Schizosaccharomyces pombe: one gene and its partner. Changing the gene in region 2 together with the main gene of any one other region gives a genetic interaction. Each region holds a gene or a part of one and is shown on either strand. Other genes may lie near its edges.

What was found.
Region 1: of trx2 (region 2) and arg3, extra expression of one rescues a mutant of the other (dosage rescue), as found in Schizosaccharomyces pombe (one study listed by BioGRID).

What each region holds. Positions count from the first base shown.
Region 1 is NC_003424.3:2,271,632-2,276,055, reverse strand, and holds arg3 (ornithine carbamoyltransferase Arg3), read right to left. Parts: upstream 2,136-4,424; 5' UTR 2,045-2,135; coding exon 1,061-2,044; 3' UTR 540-1,060; downstream 1-539. Other genes in the region: cmb1 (cytosine-mismatch-binding protein 1), read left to right, coding at 1-478; arg11 (N-acetyl-gamma-glutamyl-phosphate reductase/acetylglutamate kinase), read left to right, coding at 3,380-4,424. UniProt on the Schizosaccharomyces pombe protein: Ornithine carbamoyltransferase involved in the synthesis of arginine from glutamate via ornithine and the urea cycle.
Region 2 is NC_003423.3:2,316,837-2,320,599, forward strand, and holds trx2 (thioredoxin Trx2), read right to left. Parts: upstream 1,695-3,763; 5' UTR 1,632-1,694; coding exon 1,498-1,631; intron 1,442-1,497; exon of another isoform or gene 1,416-1,441; coding exon 1,148-1,415; 3' UTR 573-1,147; downstream 1-572. Other genes in the region: cyclin CycC-like Srb mediator subunit Srb11, read left to right, coding at 1-300, 365-572; ubiquitin-like protein modifier for cullin Ned8, read right to left, coding at 3,015-3,102, 3,153-3,265, 3,337-3,354, 3,403-3,420; ATP-dependent RNA helicase Spb4, read left to right, coding at 3,547-3,581, 3,711-3,763. UniProt on the Schizosaccharomyces pombe protein: Disulfide reductase which serves multiple functions in mitochondria, protecting mitochondrial components against thiol-oxidative damage as a thiol-disulfide oxidoreductase, and supporting urea cycle and respiration in mitochondria in a manner independent of active site thiols.

The DNA of each region.
Region 1 (4,424 bases), on a different chromosome or scaffold from region 2:
AAAAGGTGCTGGTAATGGTCCTGAGCGCTTTGAGATGATTCGTCAAAAATACAAAGCTTTGACTGCCGATGAGATCCAAAAGTATAAAAACAAACTCCAGGAGCAGTTCGATGCTGAGAAAAAGCGTTTTATGGAGACTCTACGATCCTTTACACCTACAGAAATCGATAGTGAAAATCGTCGTCGCTCGAAGGAGGCTCACAGCACGGGCAGTCGCTATTACAGACTTCGTCATCCAGATGTTCCTAAAAAACCTTCTTCTGCTTTTATCCTCTTTTACAAGGAGCTTCGAAACAATCCCAAGCTACGTCAAGAGTTAGGTATTCCAGAAGCCATTTCCACACTCGTTGAAGAGACCCAAAATGCATCAAAGGCGTGGAAGGAATTGGCGGAAGACAAGAAAAAGCCATTTATTGATAAAAGCAAAGCACTTAAAGAGCAATACGATAAGTTTATGAAAGAAGCCGGATTTCGATGATGCACACTCTACTTGCCCAGATCTTTTTTTTCTATAGATTTCTTGAATCAATGAGTTTACGTTTTATTTTACTAGCATACATGCTTGAAATATAATAAATTTCGATGCCTACACTAAGTTTTCTTTCTGTCGTAGATTCCGCATTGACGAAAGCTTTATTGTCCCAAAGCTTTTTCCTTATGAGTGTTGCGCTTATTTGTAGTTTCTATTAATTTTAAATTGTATTTTGCATATAATAGTGCTTAATACTATGATTGCTTGATACCTTGAAATATCTAGTTAAGAGGATAGCATTAAGCGGGTAATAATTTTACACAAAGCTTGTTGGACTAATGAGCCAAATTGATCCATCCCCTTTTTTAACGTATAAGTACGTCTTTAGAAGCCTGTGTCCTGCGCATAAAAAATCTGAAAAGTAATTGTCAATTAAAAAATTTTCTCAAAAGTCAATTTTCTTTTTGTGAAACAAAGTACATAAAATTTCAAAAATGAATATCACAATTTGCACGCCCAATAAAAAAAATTATAAAGTTGGCATTGTTTGCACATTCCCCAGATAAAAATGAAATTAAGGATTTCAGTTTAGGCTGAGGCAGGAGGAAGAATTTCACCACGGTTGACAAGCAAAGCCTCCAAGACAGCAACAGTGGTCCATTTGCGGTTCTCTGCTTCTTGGAAAACTAAACTGTTCTCTCCATAAAATACCTCGTCAGACACTTCCTCGGGATGACGGGGTAAACAATGCATGAATTTGCAGCTAGGTTTGGCAAGCTTCATGATCTCTCCGGTGACTTGGAATCCTGTAAATTGTTTAAGACGTTGTTCCTTCTCAGCTTCTTGACCCATAGAAATCCAAGTGTCGGTAACGACGATATCAGCATTTTTAACAGCAACCTTGGGGTCGTTAACAATTTCAAAAGTAGAACCGTTTTCGTTCGCAGCTTCGTTAACGATTGATAAAATATCGTCGCGAACGTTGACGTCCTTGGGCTTAGCAACGCTAGTATGAATACCAACCTTGGCATTTGCAATCATCAAATCATGTAAAACGTTATTGGCATCACCTACCCATGCAACTTTTAAACCGTCAAAGCTTTTGAAAGTTTCCTTAATAGTGAGTAAATCTGCTAACGCCTGGAGAGGATGAAACGTGTCACAAAGACCATTAATAACAGGACAAGAGGCATGTTTAGCGAGCGTAGCAACATCTGAATATTTGTTTACGCGAGCAACAATACCAGAAACCATACTTGATATAACTTTTGAAGTATCGTATAAAGACTCATTCACTCCTAATTGGATATCATCTTTACCTAAAAACATGGCATTGCCGCCAAGGCAACTGACAGCACTTTCGACTGATACACGAGTACGAGTGCTACGCTTACTGAAGATCATGGCGACATTCTGAGACGACAAACCACTCATTTGAACAGAACGGCGATTCTGAAAATTCTGCTTATAAGCTTGTTTAATTTCAGAAGACCGATCGATCAACTTTACAATCTCTCCGCGACTAAGATCACGAATGGATAGTAAATGACGAGGAAATTTTTTGAAAGACATTTTCAATTGCAAACTGAATAATTCTTCTCGACTAAATATATCAAAAATACGGTTTTTGTAGTCGACTACAAGGAACCCACAAGTTACTGGTAATTTCTTAGATATTCAGGGTGAGATTGCATATAGCCGATATCTAGTTCTCTCTCAGACTGCGAGATTGGCGCCGTAATATATCGTATGCGGATTTTCGACGAGATGGAAAATTTTTACATTATCGTACACTAGAGTTCAGTTGCAAACAAGCTAGTACGTTGATGAAATATGATAAAACAAGTCAAAAATTAAAAACTACTCATAAACATTCTATTTCCTTTCTTTTTCTTATGTTATTCATGGTAATATTGATACAGAACGTCAGAATACTTATCAGCAATAGCTTTTAAATACCAAAATCGTTAATTGATTAGCAGTAAAAGAATATTCATGGGTTTAGCATTTAATTATAGAACTAATGAAAAGGGATGAATTTTTTTCGACCTTGTAATATTTTTTTTATTTACCACCCATTCTTTAAAGAACCAATACATTGTAAATAAAATGTATCTAAAAAACGTGTAGTTATTTTTTTTGTTTATTCAATTATCTCTTGACACTATATTCAAGCGAGCTGAAATAAAACCAATTGTGTTACTATATTGATAACTCAGCATGCTTGTGAAATCAACAACTACCATGAAATGAACAATGAGTTCACAGATTCGCTATATTACAAGCTTACACTTACAGTATTGCATAAAGCGAAACAAGTTTTAACGAAAGAGAAGGGCTTCTTGCCAAATTTTTTTTTTTTTTTTTTTTTTTTTTTTTTTTAACGAGATTATCTTAGATAATAAATTTTATGATAAGTGCTTTTGTCTCATCAGGGTCATTGGGACTATTCAACGCGAAATCAAATAGAAAACAAAATATTGTTTCAAAAGAATGCTTTCATGTATAAATCAAGATATTGAACTGGCTTGCATAGAAATAATGAATATTGTACTGTGTCAGTTAGGACTAGTATTAAATAATGTATATACAAATAGATTCATTGTCGGCAAATGAGTTGCTTTTACAGTGTCATTTATATAGCTTTAATTCATTAAATGTCCATGTCTCACGTTTGCAGCACTTTCATGTAAACTGTTGGTTTCCGATGTAATTTTCAGCCAACAAGTAACATTATCGATCTCATCTTTTTGAGTGATTATCTCCAGAGCAAATCCCTAGATACAGCAATCAAATTTTAACGAATTATAGCTACGTTTACGAAGCAAATGATTTTCCAATTTTGAAACCAACCAAACTGCCTTCTACCAACTACAGTAAATCATAGAATATCACTAGAATTTGGCAATGCTTATTGAATTGCAACAAATTGTCAAGTCCGGTCTTGTACGGAATGGAGCGAAACACTGTACGAAAAGGAGCTTACTATGTTCCAATGCATCAGTCATTGCAAGCAAACGTTTTCAAGGCAGTTTTGCCCCGGGTCAACAACAACCGTTAAACCCACTCGCGAAACCAATTGAACAAGATCGTGATGCCATCATTAGAATTCTTTCCTCCATCGGAAGCCGTCGTGAAGTTGAGCAATACCTACGATACTTTACTTCCTTCGAAGCTCAACGTTTCGCTATTATCAAGGTTGGTGGTGCCATTATCACCGACGAATTAGACACATTGGCACAAAGTCTTGCCTTTTTGAATCATGTGGGTCTTTATCCCATCGTTGTGCATGGCGCTGGTCCCCAATTAAACAAAATTCTTGCCAGCAGAAATGTTGAACCCGAGTATAGCGATGGTATTCGAATCACCGATGCCGAGACTCTTTCTGTAGCTCGTAAAGTTTTCTTAGAGGAAAATGCGAAACTTGTAGATGCTTTGGAAAAGTTGGGAACTCGTGCTCGTCCCATTACAGGTGGTGTATTTCAGGCAGAGTATCTCGACAAAGAAAAATACAAGTATGTTGGCAAGATTGTCAAGGTAAACAAAGCTCCTATTGAACACAGTATTCGTGCTGGAACCCTCCCTATTCTTACGTCTATGGCCGAAACTGCTTCTGGTCAATTGTTGAATGTCAACGCCGACATTACTGCTGGTGAGCTTGCTCGCGTATTGAAGCCTCTAAAGGTGGTCTATCTCAATGAAAAAGGTGGACTTATCAACGGTGAAACAAAGAAAAAAATTAGCAGCATCTATTTGGATAGGGAGTACGATGGCCTCATGAAGCAACCATGGGTCAAGTATGGTACGAAGCTCAAAATCAAAGAAATCAAAGAGTTACTTGATACTCTTCCCCGTACATCTTCCGTAGCCATTATTAGTACGAAGGATTTGCAAAAAGAGCTTTTTACGGAATCTGGCGCTGGTACTTTGATTAGTCGCGGTTTTGTCATCA
Region 2 (3,763 bases):
AAGGCGTTACATGCTAAAAAAAAATGAGGAAAAGGGTTTTTCTTTGGAGGCGCTAGTGGCTACATGCATTTATTTATCATGCAAAGTGGAAGAATGCCCTGTTCACATTCGCACAATTTGCAATGAGGCTAATGATCTCTGGAGCCTAAAAGTTAAACTTAGTCGTTCTAATATTTCCGAAATAGAATTTGAAATCATTTCAGTCCTTGATGCATTTCTCATTGTTCACCATCCCTACACTTCTCTTGAGCAAGCATTTCATGATGGCATTATCAATCAAAAGCAGCTTGAGTTTGCTTGGTATGTATACTTCTTATATTGAAAATCACAGTCGATTAGATTTTTCTAACGATCGAGGAAATAGGAGCATTGTTAACGATTCATATGCCAGCAGTTTATGTTTAATGGCACATCCTCATCAACTTGCGTATGCCGCTTTATTAATAAGTTGTTGCAATGATGAAAATACAATTCCTAAGCTTTTGGATTTAATAAAGAGTACTGATGCCTTCAAAGTTATATTATGTGTTCAACGCATAATTTCTATTTATTATTTTGAGGATATTGAATAACTTCTTGAATACACTATACATTTAGAGCCTCAAATTTTGTTAAAAACGAAAACTATAATTAGATTTTTCTTTATTGCTGATTAATGCCTGAAATTATGTTTTGTTGTCTGGTTTAAAACCGTGTATTATATACGCATTCTCGTTCATGGTGTTATGTCTAAATGAATAAATAGAGCAGTATCTGTGTAATAATATCCAAAATCGAATGGTTATGTCACAAACGTAAAGGATATATTAATGCTTTATCTATGAACCTCAAAAATTATTCCTTAATCACCTCATAGAAATACTCACGTTGTTATAAAATAGCTCATTCTTGTAGCTTCCTGTGTTAATTGAGTTGAACATTCCCCTATTAGGTATTTCTGAAAGGATATTTTTGATTTCAGCAAATTTGGTCCGGCAATTATATAATGAAATTCATAAAGTAAAAACCCTTAAATCTTAAATCTTAAATAAAATAAGCCGTGTCAAGTTTTTAAAACCTAGTTTTGACATAATACAGTGCAATCAACAAATTGAATCGAGAAAGTAAATCAAGCAATTTACGAATGGGGACACCAATATCCCATATTCTATTCTTGATATTTTGCCAACAAAGAAGATAAAGTTTTCACATCAGCGCCGACGATTCTGTCCAATTCTTGACCCTTACGAAACAATACCATGGTAGGCAAGGCATAAACACCGTTCTTTTGAGCAATATCAGAAAATTTATCTGCATTAACAGCAATAAAAGATGCTTTCTGATTTTGTTCGCTTAATTTTTCAAGAAACGGTTTGAGGTATTTGCAAGGACCGCACCAGTCTGCATAGAAATCAACGACGGTAACTTTGTCAGCACTAGTAGCAATTAGCAAGGAGATCTATTCGAAAAAGTTTTATCTTTTATTTTTTACTATGATATATTATTGACTATACATACCTAATTCGAGTATTGTAATCGCCAAACGATTCAACTGCGTTCACCTTTCTCAAAATACGAGAGCTAGTAAAACTTCTGCGCAGAGCAAAAGATCTCATATGCGGCTTTAAAGAGTTTGCAATAAATCCACGCATTTGAATTATAATTTTGGTTGACGGTTTTAATCAAAAATTTAAATAGGTGAAATTATAGCACTTAGTAAGCTAGAACTACCGCCAGGCGGAGAAAAGTGCTTAGTTGCGATCATAAACATTACTCTTTAATACAATATTTTTTAAATTATTACAACATTAATTCAATAAAAAAAGATTAAAAATTTGGGAAACCAATAAAAAAAATTATAATTTAGCATCATTTTTCCCTCTTTATTATATTTTATTAGAATCCTTATTGGAAAATAGAAGCTTTCAAAAAATCTGTAGCCGAACAATTTGAGAGATTTTTTTTTTTTTTTTTTTTTTTTTAATAACTTTAAAAAACACCTAATGAAGTTTATAAATCCTTACCTTTGTTGATTAAACTAAAGTTACTTTAATTTGTTCTTAAATATACAGCCCAAAGATTTTTGGATGGATTTTTTGTACTCACGATTATAAAAACTAGTACTTCAATCTTAAGATTACATAAAACTTCGAAAATCCGGTTATCAGAATTAATTTGAAATTAAGAAAGAATATCATTTTTTTTTAATTTTTATAATAGTAATTTGGCTTTATGCAGACTATTTATAATTAAATGAATCTCTCTTGCTTTTAAATAGAGCAGTTCCTTAAAGCCGATGTCACTTTCTCATAAACAAAAAAAATTTAAAACTTCTTAAATAGAAAAATGAGAATCAATACATTGAAATGGCAATTTATAAGCATATTGATTATACTTTCCTCCTTAAAAATGTAATTTATATAGATTTACATGTATATTTCCTTTATATATGTTTAAGTGGCACCCCTATCAATGTGGCCGTTTGGTCTAGTGGTATGATACCATCTTAGGGTGATGGTGGTCGTGGGTTCGATTCCCACAACAGCCCATGTTTTTGCTACATAGCATTTTGCAGTTAGTTTTATTTAAACAACATTTTCTTTTAGTCTTACTAGAGATTTTGCGTTTATGGTAATTACATTCGATGTTGTACTGAGGAAGTTTTGCTTCGCATGCTACTGCTTTATATACTTTGATATCAGATGGGAATGCGCAAGCAATTGTTGTTATATATTGACTTTTCTGTGCAAAACGTCTCTTTACGACTACTTTACTCATAAATTAACAAGAAGTAATCAATCTTATCGCTGAAATTCATGATCACCAAAACGTCTTAAGTTTAGAAAAGCTTAAGCAATATTTTTATACAAATCAATAGATTCACATAAAATGAAACAGAGCAATAATAAAGCGACTCAATTCTCATTTCGTTACTCTTAGTATTAGTAAAACAGTAAAAAGATTTCGTTTATAGCGTTAAATAAAAGTATGATTTTTTATACATAATTTTTCTTTATAAATAAAGTATGCAACAACTAGCAACTTCCTCCACGAAGAGCTAACACAAGATGCAAGACGCTGCCTCCTTCTAAATGATAACTTTCAGCATTTTTATCATCAGCCCTACGTGATGTTTGTTAGAATCATTGTATGGATGTTCCCATAGTGCTTACATTTGCTTTCCAGCGTAGATCAGACGCTGCTGTGAAGGAGGGATACCCTCTTTTTCTTCAACCCGTTCTTTGATCCTAGAAACCTTGTCATTTGGATCAATGTCTAATTCGATCTTATATTTTGGTTAGAAACATAGATGAATTATAACTGCATATAAATGTTTTCAACATTTAAAACACGAACCTCTTTCCCTGTCAATGTCTATGATTATATATTAGTATACATAAAAAAGAAATAAATTTATCTTACTTTTACTTTGATAAGCATGCTAACTTTTATAAACGCTTTTCTGAAATTGTTGTGGTTAAACGCTAGCAGTTCCTCTCTCTCCCTATAAGCATTCCCCTCTGGCTCACCTCGCGAAAAATTGAATTGGTCTTCAAAGAGGGGACAATGAGTTTTCAGAGTATTAATATAGATAAATGGCTGTAAGTTTTCAATTCTAAAATAAAAATTTTAGGTTCTGCTACATGTTTAACCTGTTCAAAAATTTTTATTATCTAAATGATACCAGGATTTTGTCAAATCAACAATTTACAAGCACTAACATAAACTAGAAAGAACGCCGTAGCTGCTCAAGGATTTAAAAAAATGACACCCGTTCAGGCTA